Linked DNA regions of Daphnia pulex. The protein of the gene in region 2 interacts with the protein of the main gene of each other region in a biochemical or structural test. Links are inferred from orthologs where the notes say so. Each region holds a gene or a part of one and is shown on either strand. Other genes may lie near its edges. The genes, in order: E3 ubiquitin-protein ligase Siah1-like and F-box-like/WD repeat-containing protein TBL1XR1.

Region 1 (9,739 bases), on a different chromosome or scaffold from region 2:
CATTTCAGTATGAGGCTCATAAGACACTGAAACATCATTCAGAATTTCGGAGGGAAATTATTAAAAGATGTACCGATGTTACAACCAACTGATTTAGTTTTAATTTACTTCCCTATTTAAGTTGTGCATGACTATAGCACATGGTCAAATAGAAATAACCAGAATGATTTTAAAAATACTTTGTCTCACCTGACAACTACTTCTAAGCACATCTATCAACAAAACATTCATACAAACTTATTCCTATTGTAATTCCGACGAATATAATAAAATAACTTACTGAAAATTTGTGAGTGAACGGTTGAAAATGACTTCTCTAGATTTAAAAATCGTCTGAACGAAGTTTTCTGCCTGTCGGTGGAAATAGAAAATGTTTTACAGACGTAATGACATAACCACTACCTAGATGGCGTAAAGCGGGAAATTACGAAATTACTATTTTTTACACGAATTCGAACTAATAACAGTAAAATTCAATTCAGTTATTTGATTTATTAAATGTCTTGTCTGCGAAAATCAATTACAATTCTAAAAATGGGCCTCTTAAAGACGAATAAGTAAAAATAATAATAAAATAATAAGGCGTCATAATAAGGCGTTGATTATTAAATTGTTTTTAAAAATTAGTTTCAATTTCTTCTTCTGAATCAAAATCCGTCAATGTGATACCGTACAAAACATGTGATCCAATCCTGAAACAAAGAATGTACGAATATTGTTTTAAAATTGTACAACATCATGCAATTCATACTGTTGATCCGTGGAGATGGAGTTCACTCTACTAGACCTTGATGAAGATGTTATCGTATCCGACGATGAAGACGCAGGAGAGTATCGACGTTGTTGCATGTTTTTAAAGGTATCGTTGTCGAATACAACATCTTCCATCTCTTCCATTGGAATAGAAGAAATGTTGGGAAACTCGCGGTTGGTCGGACTGCTGCTAGATTTAGTCTTCAAGATTCCACGTTTAGGTACGGTGGGAAGTGGTGGCATGATAGATGACATATCGTTTCCCTCATTCGCTATTTGATCTCTATTGCTTCCATTCTGCCGTTGGAAACCGCTGGTGATGGGTGAAACATTCAGTACAGCCGCTGATCGAGCTGGTCCCTGATCCACATTTCTTACTTGATAAGTAGGTCTGTGACTGTTTCGCGAATAAAATGTTCCTTTCTCCGGATCGTAAACCATTACGGGGCGACCATTTTCTTGTTCCTGTTAAATTAACGAATGAGTTTGAATTCAGGATAAACACAATAAATGTGTTGCCAACAACTTACGTCAATAACGAAATTTGGATTATCAACACCAGAATTCATTTCGAAGCGACTTGATTTGCCAACGCCTGTGATAGAAATGTCACTGTCGGCACCTACGGAATGATTATCATTTTTTATTTCGTGATACTTTCTTCGCCTAACCCAAAAAAAATTAAATAATCATAAATGATTAAAATAATTATGTCTACGGTAATTTCAAAAATATCTAATGAAAAATGTTGTTACTTTTTAGCGTCACGACGCATTTTTTGCCGCCAGACAATTAATAACCCAATGAGGATTAAAATAATTAGAATGAGGACGACACCAACAAAGATCCAGTACAAGTTGGCCAAGTCTTCTGGCAGGACGACTTCGTGAATGTAGCCATACTCCCTTACAGCTTTTTTTACTTCTTCGGTCGGAAAGGCGTAAGTGACATCAGTCTCTCCTGTTTTTTGGTAAAACGCGCGGACAATCACATGCGTCAGACCGCAGATGTCCATATCGACATTCCATCCATGATAACAGTTCTCAACTTGAACTATTTGGACAGTACCGACAGCACTAAGGAAAACAATTTAATTCAATATTTCATGAACAATGGAATAGAAGAAAAATCGCTTATTACGTTAAATTAGGAACTATTTCGCCTTTTTCCAGCATTCCAGATGACTCGGCATACATCTGCAAAATTTCTGCCAGCTGTGAAGATGCTTCGGCGCCCACATATGTGTGGTAGACGACATCAGTTAAAAGGATATCTGGATCAAATGGCAAAGGCGTGGGGCTTGTAGGCATAGGTGTGGTCATGGGCGCTGCTGTTGTCAAATTCTTTTCTATATAATTGAAACAAAAAAATTTATATTTTACCGTCACCATCAACTACTGGTGTTGTAATTACCAATCACTTGGTAGGAGATGAAAAATCCTTTTGCGGAAACCTGTTCAGCGTCGGCGGGTCGTAAAACATTAAAAACTAAATGAGCTTTAGGTCCATCAATCAAAAATTGAACTCCTTTGGTAACACGCCACGAGAGGACAACTGCGCTCTTATCAACCGAAGGTTCCGACCCTGTAACGAAGCGAAAAATACGAATTTTTTTAAATACAATAAATATGCAAGAACTAGGAGAATAACCAGGTCCAAGTGTGATGTAGTCCCCGTTGATGCCTGCAATGTCCAGTACATTAACTGTGAGTAACAGGTCCACATATTCCCCTGCCACATCTGTGACATCAATCACATGTATATCTTCTGTTGTTTGAGATGGGTAAGATATTCCATAACCGGGAGAAGTCATATTTCCTGACGTTTCGTTATAATTGTGGATATTTGAAGCTATAAATAAGGATATAATTTAATTTGAAATTGTCAATGCAAATCAAATAATATATGTTTATACTCAAGACTGTAATGTTGTATTGGATTTTGAAGTTTGACCGATATGCCATCAGGTTGGCCTCCATCCACAGTTCATTGGAGGCACTTTCATACTCATAGGTCGGATCACCATTTGGTAGCTCGTTTCCACCGTCACTAGAACCTAATAACAACCTTATTTTTAGGTAATATCGTAGACTACATGAACAACCCATCAACCTGATGAAATTTGTGCGATTGTGTTTTTTGGGGATCAACTTGGTTACAAGCGGCGATTATTGAAATCTATAATATATTTAGTAGTATATTCTATCTATAAAGATTGGATTCCTTACCCCTCAGCTCCGGTGGGATATTGTTAGCACCAATTACAAGACCGTTACCGACCGAAAATGTGTTAGTATCTGGTCCCAGAAAAAAATCCTCGTCCGTCAGGATCAAGGTAATTTGTGAATTTTCACACGATGAAATTGTTAGTCGGTACTAGAACAATTGTTAAAAATAAATTATGTATGCAATAAAATACATGAAACCCGGTTCTTGATTTCTTTACCTTTCCGGATTGGGCATTATTCATATTGGTTGGAAAATTGGGAGTCTGTATAAATCCAGACAGTTCACTCTGACAATCTACCTTCAAGTCTACTTGACATTCCTTATTTTGAAGAGTACAAGTGTTCGGGTCACCAAAATCAATATCTTCTGCTCCAGTCAATCCCACTAAAGCAAACACAAAACGTTTAGAACAAAAGAAAATTTTAAATATCTTATTCGTCTTACCATAAAGCAGGCATATTATTAACAACATCCTCGTCGCCATTTCGATTTCAACTGTGCGTCACAATCTACAATTATAAAAATATCTCAGTTATCACTTGAGGAAAAAATGGCACTGAGACCTTTTCTTATCAGATCCTGACACCATGGTCGTCACCTACATTATCACATATTCATCGCACACCATGAAACATAATCTTATCGTATAATTGCGTAAATTGACGAATTGCTTCGTTTGAACATGGAGCCGTATAATTGATCATTGATCGCAATAGCAAAACTGTACAAGGCAACATGAGAGAAAATTCTGTTCGAACAAAAAAAAAATTAATGAAAGAGGGGAAGGGAAACGGTCGTTTACAACAGTTTTTTTGTTTCACTTGTTCGCGAATTGTGATGTCCATGCACATACGGTAACACACATGCGAAAGACGGGAAACACGATTTTTAAAAATGAGCCATTGTCATTTCGACGGGGGAAAAAAGGAAATTAATTAGCACAACCAAACTTATTTGGCGAGAGAAAATAATGAGTGTCTCTCAAATTCGGAGTAAATTAACACATAGAAATGGTAACATTGATACCCAAATTGCCGTTTTCAGCAAACAACTGGGCGATAGAGGTGTCAAAAACGAGGCAGTCCGAGTTTAGAATGGCGGAAGATACGCCTTCGTGAATGGATCGTGGCGTCGCTTCCCACGTTAACCGTCGACGGTGACCGCTCAATTCCAATCTAAGATAATTAACGCATGAGTCAATGAAATATATTGGAGTTTTAGAACGTACCTGTAGGCAAAGTTATCGGCCTGCTTTCTTGTGCCAATCAATTGGACGATAGCAAAAAATTGTTGCAACCCGTCATATTTTTCTTGCTTTTCCAGCACTAGCATAAAATGGTGACCAAAACAAGATTGCATCATAACCCAGTCGACGGCGCCGGGGAGTGCGATATCTGTTGCTAAAAAAACAATATCTTCTCCTGAAACAAAACAAGTTTAAAATCAATAGTTAATAAATGTTGGATTGAATGTTTTTTAAAAAATGTATCAACCTTGGAGAGTCGTGATAGATCGATGTTGATTGAGCAAATGGGGCATTACTTGCTCTAAAGCTCCTTGCCATTTACAGGACGCCCCCGGACACGGACAAGAATAAGGTCGATATTCACAAGTCTCTTCATGATCTCCTTTAGCTGTGTGCAACATTGTAAACTGGCATCCAGAAGTAGAAAATTTGCAAGGAAAAGAAACTGTGGAAGCCACTTTTTCCATAGCTAAATTTCTTATATTGCCTAAATATCAACATTTATTTAAGAATTGGGCACTAAATATTTGTTCTGGTCAATCTCTACCTAAGGGTCCTCTGCAGGTTGGGCAGCAGGTGAGTTTTGGTCTACAGTTGGAACAGACCTACACAATTGTTTGAAATTATTATTTAGTCAATGAAATCTACTTTTTTAGGTAATGAAAGAAGAATATTTGAGAAATTTTAGTTGATGGTCTAAAATATTTATGTAACAAGAAAACACACAAAATCATACCAGATGACCACTTGGGCATTGTAGGATTGGTGGAAGAACATACTCGAAACAAACTGGGCATTCAAAGAAGCTAGCCAAGTCTGCTGAGGAAGCTACTGTAGAACCAGAGACTGATCCAGAGCCAAGTGTGGATGTGGATGAAGAAATACTTGAAATACTTGAACGACTTTTGGAACCTTCTTGCTTGAGAAAACTCATCCTGCTGATCAAAACAAAAACAATACATTCTCACACACTTGTTAACACAACATGAGGTGGTATTAGCCAGACAAAAATGGAGAAACTAAACCATCTTTTTTATCATGTTTAAAGTTCATTCTCTCATTAATATCCTATCTGCTTATTTCATGAAAATCACAACAAACCTGAGATTAGAATCACTGCAGGATGTTGGAAACGTTCTTATTAATTCAGTATAGAATTTACTGTTGTTTTTAGGCATAGAAGGTGGCCTCCGTGATCTCAACAAGGGTTCTTCGTTGACAACATTGAGTAAATAAAATAAGGACGGCTAAACAGTATCTTGAGCAGGCAGCTGACTGCAAGTTGCTCGGGCGTCCCTAAACTGCGAAAGCGAAACGCGAAACGCGAAACGCCTAAAATGCGAAACAGCTGTGCGAAACGGACCCAAAAGTTGGGACCCTGTTTCGCATTTTAGTCTTTGGGTCCGTACTAAACTGCGAAATCGGTGTTTGCGAAACGTCGCAGTGTAAACGTCTTGGTAGCAGACGACAATGGACGCCGTCAACAAAAAAATTGTTAAGAGTTTCAAATTTTCGAGACTTCGAGTTTCGCGCACCTTATGGCTGGTCTATTTGTGTGTTGACTATGAATACGGAATACCTTGAATGCAATATGCAATAGGTGTTTTTAATTAGAAGATTGGTATAAAAAAATTTATGGAACTTCTCGTTTCCATGTATCAGTATCAATCAGATTAACATTCTTAATTTTAAGGGAAGTTTTAGTTGATTAAATTTTAGCTTGATTTGGAACATGGTAGCTTTGATTTTTAGCTTGATATAAGGCACTCATACTGTTATGACCGATTATTTCTTTGTGCACGTATCTACTGGTTGATTAAAATTATTTAATGTAATGTATAATCCCTGGGCCATTACCTAATATTTTATTATTTAAAAATATCACCATATCGTGCTGCTCTATGTCTTTCATTAGTTTAATAATCGTAAAATGCGCATTAAAACATACAGGGGTAGTGGCGAAGAAATCGAATTTGATTGCCCCCCTTCCTCCTTTAATGCCTCATCATAGCGGGAGACAATGAAAAATGGCGGCAATCTCCGTCAATTTGGACCTCTGTGGGGAAAAGGAAAACTATTTGTTTCGCAAGATGTTTCGCTCTTTAGTATGCCCTCCGGCATTTGGTCCCGCGAAACGGTTCCAAAATTTTGGTCCGTTTCGCACAGCTGTTTCGCATTTTAGGCGTTTCGCGTTTCGCGTTTCGCTTTCGCAGTTTAGGGACGCCCAAGTTGCTCTATTTCTCATAAATGAAAGAAAATTCGAAACATCTTAAGAATATTTTGTCAATAATTGAAAGAATTTTTTTAAAGAATTTCCAGATAAAAAAATTTCCGCAAAATAATTTATGAAACGAAAGATTAAAGTGACATTAGTTCCCATGGCAACCGCTTCGTCCGACGTGGAATTTTTTTTTATAATTTATTCAGCTGCTGGAACGCCGATCACTATTCGGTGTGTTTGTTGATCTTAAGTTTGCACACTTTGACATTACATTAAATGACGTGAAAGTGAAAATATTACCGTAATATAAGTTGTACAGTTAGTTCAATTGATTATCAATCATGACGGATCGTCGACAAATACGTGAAGCAACCCGTATTGTTATTTTATGTGTTTTCTGGTTTGTGCTCCCATTTCTTCAATTATTTTGATCTGAACCAGGTCAGCTTTAAGTTTGTTTTTCCATTCCTTAAAGGTATCTCATCTCATCCAGCAACAATGTAATTGGGAAATGGGTTTTAAACGAATTCCCTTATCCAATGACATTAACAATGGTCCAGCTGCTCTCCATTTCTCTTTATTCTGGTTTTTAATTTAATGATTTATTTAATTTATTAATTTGTAGTTTTTTTTATAAATAGTTTTGTTGTTCCTAATTTCCCTTAGGTCCTCTTCTAAAATGCTGGAATATTCGCCCAGGCCTACAAAGCAGCTTTTCAAAAGATTACTATTGGAAATTGATCATCCCTCTTGCATTTGGAAAGTTCCTTTCATCGGTCTTCTCCCATATTAGTATATGGAAGGTTCCTGTTTCATTTGCCCACACAGGTACTAAGCCAGTAGACTGCTCCTATAAAAATATACATCAACAAATAACCGAATTTAAATTAAGCTTGATTGTACTTTAAGATATATACATTATTTTTGCTAATGCCCATTTGTTTACTATAATAGTGAAAGCCTCAATGCCACTATTCACAGTGGTACTGTCCAGGGTCCTTATGGGAGAAAAACAAACATTACCTGTAATTTTAATTCACTTCATCTAGACATTTAGTAATCCAATTAATGTACTGTTTATTTCATTTCAAGGTCTATTTATCTTTGATTCCAATCATCATGGGAGTGGCAATAGCTACCGTTACTGAAATATCTTTCGATGTAATCGGAATGTGGAGTGCTTTAGTAGCGACGTACGAAATGAAAATTTAACTTATTTATTGTCCAATTTGACACATTTTTTTTTTCAAACTTAGGTGCGGTTTCAGCTTGCAAAATATTTTTAGTAAAAAAGTCTTACACGACACTGGAGTCCATCATTTGAGACTCCTTCACATGGTATTACATTAATATTGTGTTTGGTTGTTCGGTACATGGCTTAATTTCATGAATTATTTGTTCTAGTTAGGCCAACTTGCTCTACTGATGTTCACTCCAGTGTGGGCAATTTTTGATTTATGGAAAATCATTCAACACACAAACATCGTAAGTGACGAGGAGTTCAGAAAGCTCTTTATGAATGGTTTTTCTGCCACAACATTTACGATAATTTTTTTTTTTTATTATTGTTAAAGGAACCGGAGACTAATATGTTCATGATTTTCACCTACCTCTTTCTCGATGGACTGTTAAATTGGCTTCAGAACGTAGTGGCCTTCAGTTTACTTCACTTAGGTGGGGATTATTTTTAGAAAGAGATTTCTCAAGCATGTTTTAATTTATTTCGGGGTTATTTATTAGTTACGCCATTGACTTACGCTGTGGCCAATGCCTCCAAACGAATCGCAGTGATCAGTTTTTCGCTGTTCATGTTGCGCAATCCGGTGACCTCTACAAACGTGGCAGGAATGGCACTTGCCATTTTCGGTGTTCTCTACTACAATAAAGTAATCTTAGCATATAATTGCGACATAATAACCTGAAATTAACCGAGATATAATTTCGTGTAGGCAAAATATGATGCCAACTTACAAAAGAAGAAACTTACTGTTTTACCTCTCGTTGATCATAGCAACGGAGGGGTTGTTGGTCACAAGTTTGCCCTGAATCGCTTCCAGCACATATAATGTACACAGTTTAAATACAAAAAAAATATCCCTATATATTCTTAATATTCCACATACCAAAACAAACCCAGTCTATATATAATTAAGAAACCTTTTAAAATCTCATTGTAGATTTCACTTATTGTGCCAAAGAAAATTCTTCAAATTGCTGAAAACATCTGAGTCATCATACAGATAGACCATAGAACTTCTCAAGCTATCCTGCAATGTCCACCTGTAAAAGATTATAAACCAAAGTTAAATTAGCCTTCATAATCTATTGCTTTAATGTAGTTATTTAATCCATACCTATGGAATTCGAAAAGCCACAAAACCGATCCCCAAACAAAAGCAGCAAACCAAGGCCAAACTTCGAAATTTGGCTTGCTGATATAACCTTCTTTAACAGCAAGTTTCGCAAAGGCCACTGTAATTCTTGACAACAAATAGAGTACAATCTGCCAAAACAAAAATAGATATTAACGTTTTCCCGGTAAAAACGGACCTGCAAAATATTTCACAAATGATACCTGTTCGTTGATTTTATCATGAGTGCCAAAAACGAAATAACCGCCGATGAAAGCTGATATGAATGGATGAACGTTGCCTTTTCCTCCCTCCACACGCCGCATAATAGCCATCAGGGTTTTGTAGATCAAAACGAAGGTGGCTAAATTTTTTGAGTGTGTATAAGTAGCACGCAGAATCCAGGCAAATTTGTCTCTTAATGAGCCACTTCTGAATAAAAAAGTCATCACCATCGCATGCGGGAATCGGATTTTGGCTCCATATCTGCATAAATTCGAAAAGCAATAGTTATAAATATATTTTTTGAACTCTCGACTGGCAGAGCTATCAACTATAATACTTAGCTTGAGATATACATAGTTTATATAAATTTGCAAGAATTGCATAATTGATTTGATTAAGTCATGTAATTTGTAGTTAAGATTACATTGATATATATGAATAGTAAATTGATAGCAAGTTCACTGTAGCAATCAGGCTACATTTTATCGCTGATGCACACATTCATGGTAAAAAAAATCAACCTGACAGATAAAACAATTCTAACTTTTAATAATAATCGAGCGATTCAAGCCTAGGGTTGCAAACGATGAAGGTACCTACCAAAAACATTATAATAAAAACCAAACATGTTTTACTTACACGGCTCCATTTCGAAGTCCTTTAACAATTGCTAGTATCGGGTGATACGGGACAGGAGAAGAACTAAGTAGCTGG
Region 2 (10,150 bases):
AAGGAAGTATCTAATTGCGCTTACTTATCGTACGTATGAAAGCTAGTTAATATGGTTGATTTAACGATTCTCTTTGTGGCTACACATATTTAGTGTTTTCTTCAATTCGTTTAAACTCTGGAACTAGGTATTTGTTTGTCAAGGGTCGTTTTCTCTCCGATTTTTGTTTGTGGGTCACTGGCGACCGCACGGAGGCCGTCTAGCTCTTTTGTGAAATGTCTTCATATAAACGACGCCGATGAATTGAAAGCACGAGCTGCGGGAAATGTTGGGTTCTGTGTTGTAGGAGAAACTACACACACACACAAACGTTTGTATTGTTGCATGTAAATACTCGTGACTCGTCAGAAAATGAGCCTGCGTGGTTTGTCTATTCTTTTGGCGCATGCAACGCTCCATCAACGGGCAGTGGCATCAGCAGAGTCAAGTTGGTATGTAAATCTTGGTGGTGGTGGAATTATTTCTACACTCTGCCAGGGTCATCATCATCATCATTCGTCCATGAGCTTTTCTTCAATGGCATCCCAGTCTATGTCGACCTATTGCCAGAGACCCAAAAGAAATCTTGTAAGATTCAGTCTGCCCATCAGCTATATAAGAATAGTATAGTAACGTAATAATATCCGGGTTATTGAATCATTAATTGTATAATCCGATCTAATGATTTTCGAGTAGTGTAGTAGTATGTGCGCGTATATTACTTTCTTGGCGTATTCGATGAAGCGGGGAATGGTCTCGGTCCAGCTGAATTGCTCCAGGTATTTGCGCCGATAGGCGACCACCACGTCGATGTTGGAATCGTGCTTGACCGCCAGCTCTAAAGCTCTGCCCAATTGGATAAAAGAAAAAGATTTTTTTGTTTTTTGTTCAATTAAAAAAAAAGTCGGATGTTGCGCAAATTAGAATATAAAAAAACTGAGGAGTGGCCCACTTTTCGAACTGGAACAGCTGCAAATTCAACATGATGGCTTTGAGAGGCAGTCCAGCCTGGAGCAGGATAGTTTCAGCTTCAGTCCGTCCGTTCTGCAGGAGGGCCGTCTCCGCCTTGATCATGGCCACGTTGTTCATCTTCTAGACGGTTCGAAAAAGAAAAAAAGAAAAATCGTTTTACAACTTGAGTGAATGGGAAAGAGAAGAAGCAGCACGCAAATCTATGTTTTACTTTGATAGCGTCGACGTAGAGGATCTTATCCGTCTCACGAAGGGCTGCGAAAGCTACCTGGGCGGCGTCCAACTGCTTATAATGCACGGCCATGGCCGCCAGGCAGACCCACAGAATTTCCATCTTCATCCGTGCGTACAAAAAGACAAAGTATCAACGTGTTAGAATATTAGATACTGGGCATCAATCTGTCGTTAGGAAAAATATACTACCTTGATGGAACTGCAGAGTCGCTGGGCGCTATCCCATTGGCCGTTGGACACGAATTGCTGCAACTTGGACGGATAAGGCGACAGGTAGACGGGAAAGGTGAGCCCATCGCCACGCTGCAGCGTCACCTGGTGTCCGGTAAAGCTCTCGATCGTAACGTGCTTTCCGTATTCTCTGATTTAAAATTCGAATTCATTTTAAAATTTGCGAGATATTTGGTTTTTGGTTTGGACCAACTGACACGTACCGGATGTTTTGACGAATGGTGAACTTTTCGAGTAATGCTGGATCGTTGGGCACGGCCGGCGGGTAAGGCACCACACACAGTTCCTCTTCTCTAACCATAACCAGCATGGAACAATCGCAATTCCAGGCGAACGACGTCACACCTCCAGCTGCCAAAAAAGAAAAGAAAAGAAGGAAAAACAGTTATACATCAGTCGGAAGAATAAAACGGCGAACTCGGTTGGGTCAGGGTTGGCTGCTGCTGGTGATTGATCACTCGTATAATCGTTCAACTACCAATTTTGAGAGAAGAACGGACTCGGTTGAGGCCCGACGATAATGAAAGCAGGTGAAGGTCGCGGGCCGTGTCCGTGAACGCCAACAGCTGATCCCCCGACGGTGAGCCGGGATCCAGTTCCAGCTTGGTCACTTGTCCTCCGCTGTGGGCCAGCGGCTTGTCGCCGTAGACGGGCTTGCCGGTGCGGTAGTGACAGCAGTGGATCGATTTGCCGTCGCTGGGACTACGGGCGGCTATCACCTCTTTGGCGGCCGTGACGTGATCGGCCGTCAGCATCGTCAGCCGCTGATTGGAGATCCTGGGCGTTCCCTGCAGGGCTCCGTCGTACGAGAAGACGTATAGGATGCCGCAATCCATTATCAGGAAATATCTGAGCCAATGAATCATGTCGTTTCATTCAATTTGATTAAATTTTTTTTTTTAATTTACTTTTCCGTTTGTTTGATGAACTGCGGACACTTGTCCCGCAATTCGACGGTGATGGGACTGTTCCAGCCGTTCTCTTTGTGGATGAGGCAATGCGTCTGGCTGGCCACCAGGAAATGGCCGTAGTTGAAGGACCAGAGGAGGACGTCGTCTCTGAATTCGAGCAGCTCGACCGTCTCGTTGAAATGATCACGCAATTCCAGAGTGTTGGGAGCCATCTTGGTCACGTGATAGTTTCCCCAAGTCAGCCCCCTATGGGATTTTCATTCAACATTCATTAATCTGTCAAGTTTTTAAAAATCCCCCCAACAAAAACTCGAATCGGAAAATGATGGATTATAGCGGAGCATGGATTATTTTTATTTTTTACTTTGCGTATATACACACCCTTTGACCAGATGAGATATTTGGATTCTTCCAGTCGAATTCCCCACCACCAACTGGGATCCTTCCGGTGACCAACAGACGCTCGAAATTCCATCGCCCTCCATAGAGCCCTCGAGAATATCGCTCTGTGTGTCAATCAAACATTTCATGTGAGTAATTAAAAGGCATAATAGGCGGAAAGATTTAGATACCCCGTAAGCGGATGAGACGCAGACGGATGAAAATGTCGTGAAAGCGCAGAAGGCTCCGTCTGGCGACCAGGCGATCGACGTGATGGGATGGAGTCGAGGGTCGCTGTTGAACAACAGCTGGCCCACGGGATCCCAAATCTTAAAGTGGCAATCTTCACTACCGCTAGCGATTAAATGCGATATCGAACTCCAGGCCACCACTAGGACAACGCTGTCGTGGGCTTTCCACTGCAGAGTCTAGTACAGTTATTTCATCGTGATTTAGTTTTGAAAATTACAACAAATTCTTGGCAAGTTATTCGTTGAGATATACGCTAAATGTTTATCTGACCTTACTGGTGGTTGCAAAGGACTGGATGGTCATCAGTTTGCCGGAAGAGTAGAGAACACCGGTAGAGAATGGGGACCAGACAGCCGAGTAGATGGGCGAATCCGCTTGTGTGTGCGTACTCCTCAGCATTCCACTTCTGGACCATATCTTGAGTTGGCCATCTTCGCCTGATGTCAGTAAGCTTGTGCCATCGTGATTCCATTTGGCATTCATGACTGCTCCTTTGTGAGCATCAATAACCCTCTCCGTTCGGCCCGACTTGTGCATTATGTAACATTTTCCTGTGGAGAAAAACGTTCGAATAATTTTTTTTTAAATGAAATAATTGGGGAAAATAGCTTGTTACCATCTGATGTTCCAATGGCAAACATTTCACTGGATCTTTTGCGTTGGTCGATGCTCTGCTGACTGATATTCATGCAGTCTATATCCAAAATGTGAGTGCCTTTATTCAGCGTGATCGTCTTGGCTGAACTGTCCTTGGCGGAGCCATCCCACGAGTGTATTTTCAGATCATCACTAACGCGTTTGACAGGAGAAAACAATTAATTTAATTGTTAGGTTAAATTAAACGACCGATTTGGTGCTTTACTATACCAACCTGTACGTGAAGTATTCGATTTGAGAATTCCATTCGATGAACAAAATATTTTCCGGGAGAACGGACGATATGGCTGCTCTGTCGTGTAAGTGCATGCTTACACGTTTGTAGCTTGTAGCGTTACACTTGAAAGTGGTAAATTTGTTTTTTCTTTTTAACGTGTGTTTGTGATTGTGCTTGAAATCGGTTGTTACGGGTTACGGTTACTATTTTTCTATCCAATTTTGGTTTTCTGGTCATAGATGGCGTTAGCTAACGGTGACTTTGAAGGATTCTCGGAGAAGCTCTTTAGCGCAACCTCAAGCCGAGTCCTGCAAGCTTGCAAAAAAAAAGCGAAAAAAGAATCGCTTTGATAAATAACTTAGTAATTTTTCTCTACTATGTTTGTGTTTTAAAAAATGAGTTTTTCAAGTGATGAAGTTAATTTCTTGGTGTACCGATATTTGCAAGAATCCGGTAAGAGCATCACCATTTCGTTTGGGTTTTTAAGTCGACTGTCCATGGGAATGGTCACTGTGATGAGTTTTTACTGGATGCAGTATTTCGACAAGTGCATTTAACAACTGCGTCGTTTCTTTCAAATAGGTTTTCAGCATTCTGCTTACACCTTTGGCATAGAGTCGCATATTTCACAATCCAACATCAATGGAGCTTTGGTACCGCCAGCAGCCCTTCTCTCCATCATCCAGAAGGGTTTACAATACACAGAAGCTGAGATCAGTGTTGGAGATGTGTGTGACAATTGAAATATGATAAAGTTTGTCTATCACAACATTTTTACTCTTTTATATTTTTGGTTTTCAGGATGGTTCTGAACGACCCATGGAAAGCTTATCACTCATTGATGCTGTGATGCCTGATGTTGTTGCAAGTCGTCAACAGCAAATGCAGAACAATCAGAAACCACAAGTGGTAAAGACAGAACCACCAAATTCCAATGGAGATGAACCCATGCATTCCTATCGTAAGATAGTCAATACTTTTCCTTGATCCCCTGAACTGCTTACTTATTTTCCCTTTAACTATTTCTTATTAGCCAACCCCAATGAAGGCCGGGAAGAGGAAACAGGAGTAGAGATACCTGCCAGCAAATCAACTGTACTTCGTGGCCATGAATCTGAAGTTTTCATCTGCGCTTGGAACCCGACAACTGATTTATTGGCTTCCGGCTCTGGCGATAGTACTGCCAGGATTTGGAACATGAATGACAACTCGTCTTCACCAACTCAACTTGTTCTTAGGCATTGCATTCAGAAGGGTGGAACTGAAGTTCCGAGCAACAAAGATGTCACCTCACTTGACTGGAATGTATGTTATTTCTTATACCTTAAGCGCCAAATAGTTGGCTGTGTAATAACAGTGTTCTTTTTTTTTTAGTGTGATGGAACTCTTCTTGCAACTGGCTCTTACGATGGTTATGCTCGCATTTGGACAACTGATGGAAGATTAGCTAGCACTCTGGGACAGCATAAAGGACCTATTTTCGCACTAAAATGGAACAAAAAGGGCAACTATATCCTCAGTGCTGGAGTCGACAAAGTAGACCTAAGTTTATATTTTTTTAAACGAAAACTGTTGATATTTATGTATTTCTTTCATTAGACGACCATCATTTGGGACGCTTCAACGGGCCAGTGCACGCAGCAGTTTGCTTTCCATTCCGCCCCAGCACTCGACGTAGATTGGCAGTCGAATGTCAGTTTTGCCTCATGCTCCACTGACCAGTGTATTCATGTTTGTAAGTTGGGCAGTGACAAGCCAACCAAATCCTTCCAAGGACATACGGTAACAATATTCTAATTTCTCTTGCGAATTTGTGAATGATTAAAAAAGGAATATTTTTTATTTCTCTAGAATGAAGTAAACGCTATTAAGTGGGATCCTCAGGGTAATCTTTTGGCTTCCTGTTCTGACGATATGACGCTCAAGGTAATGTGCAAGTTCATTCTTGTCAAAAGACAATCAAATCAAATGTGTCCGATCCTTTTCCTAGATATGGTCCATGAAACAAGACACTTGTGTTCATGATTTGCAAGCACACAACAAGGAAATCTACACCATAAAATGGAGTCCTACCGGCCCTGGAACAAATAACCCAAACATGAATCTGATTTTGGCTAGCGCTTCGTTTGACTCGACCGTTCGATTGTGGGACGTCGAGCGTGGGTTGTGTATTCATACCTTAACCAAGCACACCGAACCAGTGTACAGTGTCGCATTTTCTCCCGATGGCAAATACCTAGCATCTGGTAGCTTTGACAAATGTGTACACATCTGGTCTACTCAGGTACATAATAGTTTCAAAGTTGAAAACCTAAACAAACTACATCTTTATTCTATTTTTCTTAGTCGGGGCAATTGTTACACAGTTACAAAGGAACTGGAGGCATTTTTGAAGTTTGCTGGAATTCTCGGGGCGATAAAGTTGGAGCAAGTGCTTCTGACGGAAGTGTAAGTTTGGTTTTTTCTAACTCATTCGATTTGTTTTAATTTTTTTTCATTTCTAGGTATTTGTTTTGGACTTGCGAAAATAAATAATTCAACGCTTCAACATTTTCTGCAATTCCAGTTGTTTCATGATTCTTATTATCTTTAAGGTTCATTACATCATTTGTATCATTTAAGGAAAAACAAAATAAAAAATTTCAATTTATATGGATAAATTTGAAGGTTTATTTAAGGTTTTAATTTCTATAAATTAAACAATTATTTTCAAATATTTTAATGAATTATTTTTATCTTATTATTTAACTTTAAAGACATTTAAACAACAAAAGTTTCTTTCGCGAATTGTTCACGTTTATTTGCAAACAATCACATGCGTGGTACAACTAGTACAAGCGCTGAGGAACTCCCATGGTGGTCTTGATGTGAATGGAACGAACGTTCTGCCAGTGTTTCTTGAGCAGCGAAACCAAGAAGTTGATGGACAAATGGATGTTTTGGGCCAAATCGTCAGCAGACATGGTGACGTGTCCGACAGCAACGCAGAGACACAAGACCTATACATGGATACGTTTAGTTCGTGTCGAAAATCTACTAGTTGTACCAACATACCTTCTTCATCTGGAACTTGATGGTGCCCTTGACTTCTTCCACCTTCTGAACCATAGAATCAGAGTGGGTGAGAGGACCAGGGAACTTGCCAGCCTTGTTCAAGCCAGGGCCCAACAAACGAGGAATCTGCTTGATAAGGGCCTCGCTGGCGAGGAAAGCATCATATTTCTTGGCTGTATGAAGAAAGTGATGGATTAGTTACGCTTCACTTGAAAAAGGTATCAAAACCTACCCAATTGCTTTACAAGCTTCTTGTTCTTGTTAAGCTTCTTCAAAGCCTCAGCATCCATGCAAGGAAGGTTGTTGGCATTGGCCTCATCACAATGCTGCTGGTCTCCCAAGATGCATACTTTCATAGCAGGCCTGGGGATGTGCTTAAGCCTGAAGAGATATGACAATTAACAATTTGACTCTACCTTATACTAAAACCCAAGCCATTCCAAATACCAACCACAAGGCATAAAACCTTGCATAATGTTTGGAAAATTGACTTGCGTCAAAATTCCTCCCCACATATTTAAAATGACCCTGGGTGAGGGTCATCGTCAGACTAAAGTCCAACTCCCCAACAATGTGGGTTTGTAGTTCTTACTTGACGGTTCCGGAGAAACGCTTATCCTTTTGGGGATCGTAGTTCTTGAGACCAAATTGAATTTCAACAGTCTCGGTAAACTTCCTCTTCTTCTCTTTAGACTGCGACAACATGTTGTTGACAGCCTCGTACAGCGTATCACGAGATACCTTGGACCTGTGCAAAAAATATAAATGAATGCAAACATATTGAAAACCGAACACGCCATTCCATGCAGAGAAACCAAATGTCGACCGTGTTGACTTTTAATGAATTTTTTAAATAGCACAGGATTTTGACTTTTAACATAATACAATAGTTTGCCAACAGCTACTTCAACGCTTAATCCAACCAACAATAAACAATAGTTTAAAATTAAAAGATGTTTTACGTTAAAAACGATAACTTACGACATGGTGAAGTGCCTTGGCAAGTCCCTTGGAACAAACGCTTCCAAATGAAGGACCGAACTTAGATGTTGTCGGATATCTTTATGTCCTTCTTCTTCTCTTCCTTTCCCTCATAGTTGCCAAATCAAAAGAAGAAATGTCATAAAGTTATTTTGAAATAGTATCATTCTTAGTTTAAAATATACGGATTGGTTTTTAAAATTCCGATTATTATTTATGTTATATTTTTATATTTTACTTTTTAGGTAATCGTGACCTTTTTCCACATTTAAAGCAGTAGCAGACAGCTTCAGGATGCTTCAGGCAGCTTCAGGTACCGGTAGCGGTAGTATTGCTCTGGCGGGCTGAATTTAAAAGAAAGCTAAATTGCGCAGTCCAATATCAATAAACAATCGGCCTTTATAGCCTTTACAACTTACTTATCAGCTAAAGTTTCATGTCCATTCTTAGAACGTTCGCGAAGAGGGCGGTAGAGAAATCTGAAATCTTTCTGTGTTCGAAAACTTGGTTTAGATCAAACAACAACATGAGTGGAGTATTTTTTCCTATTTCTGAAACCAAACATCTTGCTCCAGGTAACCTTGACTTGATATTAATTGCTTTACATGACATCCCAGCAACATTGTGTGATATTTTCATTGTGATTGACAATAGGCTCAAAATGTCCTGAAGTAACACCAGGTCTGATGCGATTGTATAATATGAAATTCTGCCCATATGCTCAGCGGACCAGACTAGTTTTAGCTGCCAAAAGAATTCCGTAAGCCAATGTTTTTGTAAATACCCCAAAAATTATTCCATCATTTGTCTTTGTTTTTTTCAGAAATGAGGTTGTAAATATAAACTTGGTTGCAAAGCCTGATTGGTATTTTGCTAGAAATCCACTTGGCAAAGTTCCTTGCTTGGAATTTGATGGGAAAGTGATATTTGAAAGTTTAATCACTTGCGACTATCTTGATGAAGTGTATCCTAGTTCACCAATGCTGAACAGTACTGATCCTTTTCGCAAGGCACAAGACAGGATTTTGATTGAAATGTTCAATGCGGTATTAAAAAATTGTTTTTATTCAAATACTTTCTTTGAAAATGATACATATTCTCAAATCATTAGGTCAATAGTAACTTATATAAACTATACCGCTGTAGTTTGGATGATGAGTCCACTTGGAAAGGAGCAATTGTTGGTATCCACAAGGGTTTACAGATTTTCGAAGATGACCTAGCAAAACGAGAAATAAAATTTTTTGGAGGTAGGTAGATTTCATTTAGCTGAATTTTTTTTATTAATTTTTATTTTTAAATAAATTCATGAAAATGATTTGATTCTAGGTCAGAATCCTGGGATTGTAGATTACATGATATGGCCTTGGATGGAGAGATTGCCTTCATTGCCTATTTTGAGCCATGGGATGCTAAAAGTTCAAATGGAAAATTATCCTTCTTTGGTAAATAATTTTTAAAGACCATTACAGCATGTGTGTAGTGATTTTTCATCATACAAAAATAATTTTAACAACAGATAAAGTGGTTTGATGCCATGAAAGAAGACGATGCGGTCAAAGAAAGTTTCATTTCTCCTGAAAATCACGCAAAATTTATTACAAGTTTTCTAGCTGGGAATCCGGAATATGACATGGAAATCAATAAATAAAGTAGTTAAGACAAATTTTTTTATTCCAAAATGGAAAGTATACAGTTAATGCTTAATCAGGAAGATTAAACTGGAAGTATTCAGACCACAAACATTTTAAATAAGCATCTCTTCCCTACGGTTGTTTCAAAACGTATCTTAATTCTGGTTGTTTGCGTGGTCGCCTGCTTCAGGATCATGATGGAAGAGACTATCAGCTTTTTCTCGGAGATGCGAAGCCTTTTCTTCTATCAAAAACCCAGAGTGCTCCAGTAATTGGATCCAAGTCTTTGGAGGTACTCTAGTTAACAAACCATGTTTGACTAACCATTCCTCTAAAGTTTCATTTATTCCAACCGGATCTTCTTTATCTTCCGGTCTTGACAAATCAGATTGTGCTTCCTCTTTCGCACGTCTTACAGCTTGTTTCAATGTTTTCAGAGCTTCAGTCAGTGCTGCAGCTTGTTCAGTGACAAGAGCTTCAGCTTGTTGTCGGGCAGTGGCTGCAGACTGTGCAACTTCATTTTTCTCATCGGTTAATTTCAATAGCAGTTCTTTTTTATTGTGAGATTGTTCCGCCAAAGTTTTGAAATCTTCTTTGCACAAGTTTAATTATCGTTCTAATTCCAGAATCTTTTGGTCTACTTCCAT

Evidence for each region.
Region 1: the proteins of F-box-like/WD repeat-containing protein TBL1XR1 (region 2) and E3 ubiquitin-protein ligase Siah1-like form a complex in vitro, tested with the Drosophila melanogaster proteins (2 studies listed by BioGRID). The link is inferred for Daphnia pulex from reciprocal best matches to the Drosophila melanogaster genes ebi and sina.

The regions. Positions count from the first base shown.
Region 1 is NC_060018.1:3,698,321-3,708,059, forward strand, and holds E3 ubiquitin-protein ligase Siah1-like, read right to left. Parts: upstream 5,501-9,739; 5' UTR 5,407-5,500; coding exon 5,330-5,406; intron 5,167-5,329; coding exon 4,965-5,166; intron 4,834-4,964; coding exon 4,776-4,833; intron 4,716-4,775; coding exon 4,476-4,715; intron 4,404-4,475; coding exon 4,211-4,403; intron 4,158-4,210; coding exon 3,980-4,157; 3' UTR 3,658-3,979; downstream 1-3,657. Other genes in the region: uncharacterized protein LOC124188473, read right to left, coding at 617-692, 752-1,218, 1,284-1,419, 1,509-1,829, 1,894-2,101, 2,167-2,337, 2,404-2,604, 2,669-2,809 and 3 more; solute carrier family 35 member E1 homolog, read left to right, coding at 6,791-6,849, 6,925-7,034, 7,116-7,277, 7,404-7,474, 7,542-7,642, 7,706-7,787, 7,854-7,934, 8,024-8,123 and 2 more; peroxisomal membrane protein 4-like, read right to left, coding at 8,630-8,729, 8,804-8,952, 9,025-9,286, 9,665-9,739. UniProt on the Drosophila melanogaster protein: E3 ubiquitin-protein ligase that is required for specification of R7 photoreceptor cell fate in the eye by mediating the ubiquitination and subsequent proteasomal degradation of Tramtrack (ttk).
Region 2 is NC_060027.1:3,224,942-3,235,091, reverse strand, and holds F-box-like/WD repeat-containing protein TBL1XR1, read left to right. Parts: upstream 1-4,114; 5' UTR 4,115-4,229; coding exon 4,230-4,287; intron 4,288-4,416; coding exon 4,417-4,562; intron 4,563-4,635; coding exon 4,636-4,795; intron 4,796-4,867; coding exon 4,868-5,139; intron 5,140-5,208; coding exon 5,209-5,370; intron 5,371-5,433; coding exon 5,434-5,616; intron 5,617-5,685; coding exon 5,686-5,760; intron 5,761-5,824; coding exon 5,825-6,282; intron 6,283-6,338; coding exon 6,339-6,369; 3' UTR 6,370-6,483; downstream 6,484-10,150. Other genes in the region: intraflagellar transport protein 80 homolog, read right to left, coding at 492-539, 702-825, 932-1,071, 1,163-1,285, 1,375-1,546, 1,620-1,767, 1,895-2,265, 2,325-2,573 and 5 more; 60S ribosomal protein L10a-like, read right to left, coding at 6,663-6,833, 6,889-7,061, 7,121-7,269, 7,481-7,636, 7,870-7,874; pyrimidodiazepine synthase-like, read left to right, coding at 8,306-8,444, 8,524-8,629, 8,693-8,915, 8,981-9,119, 9,199-9,314, 9,389-9,520.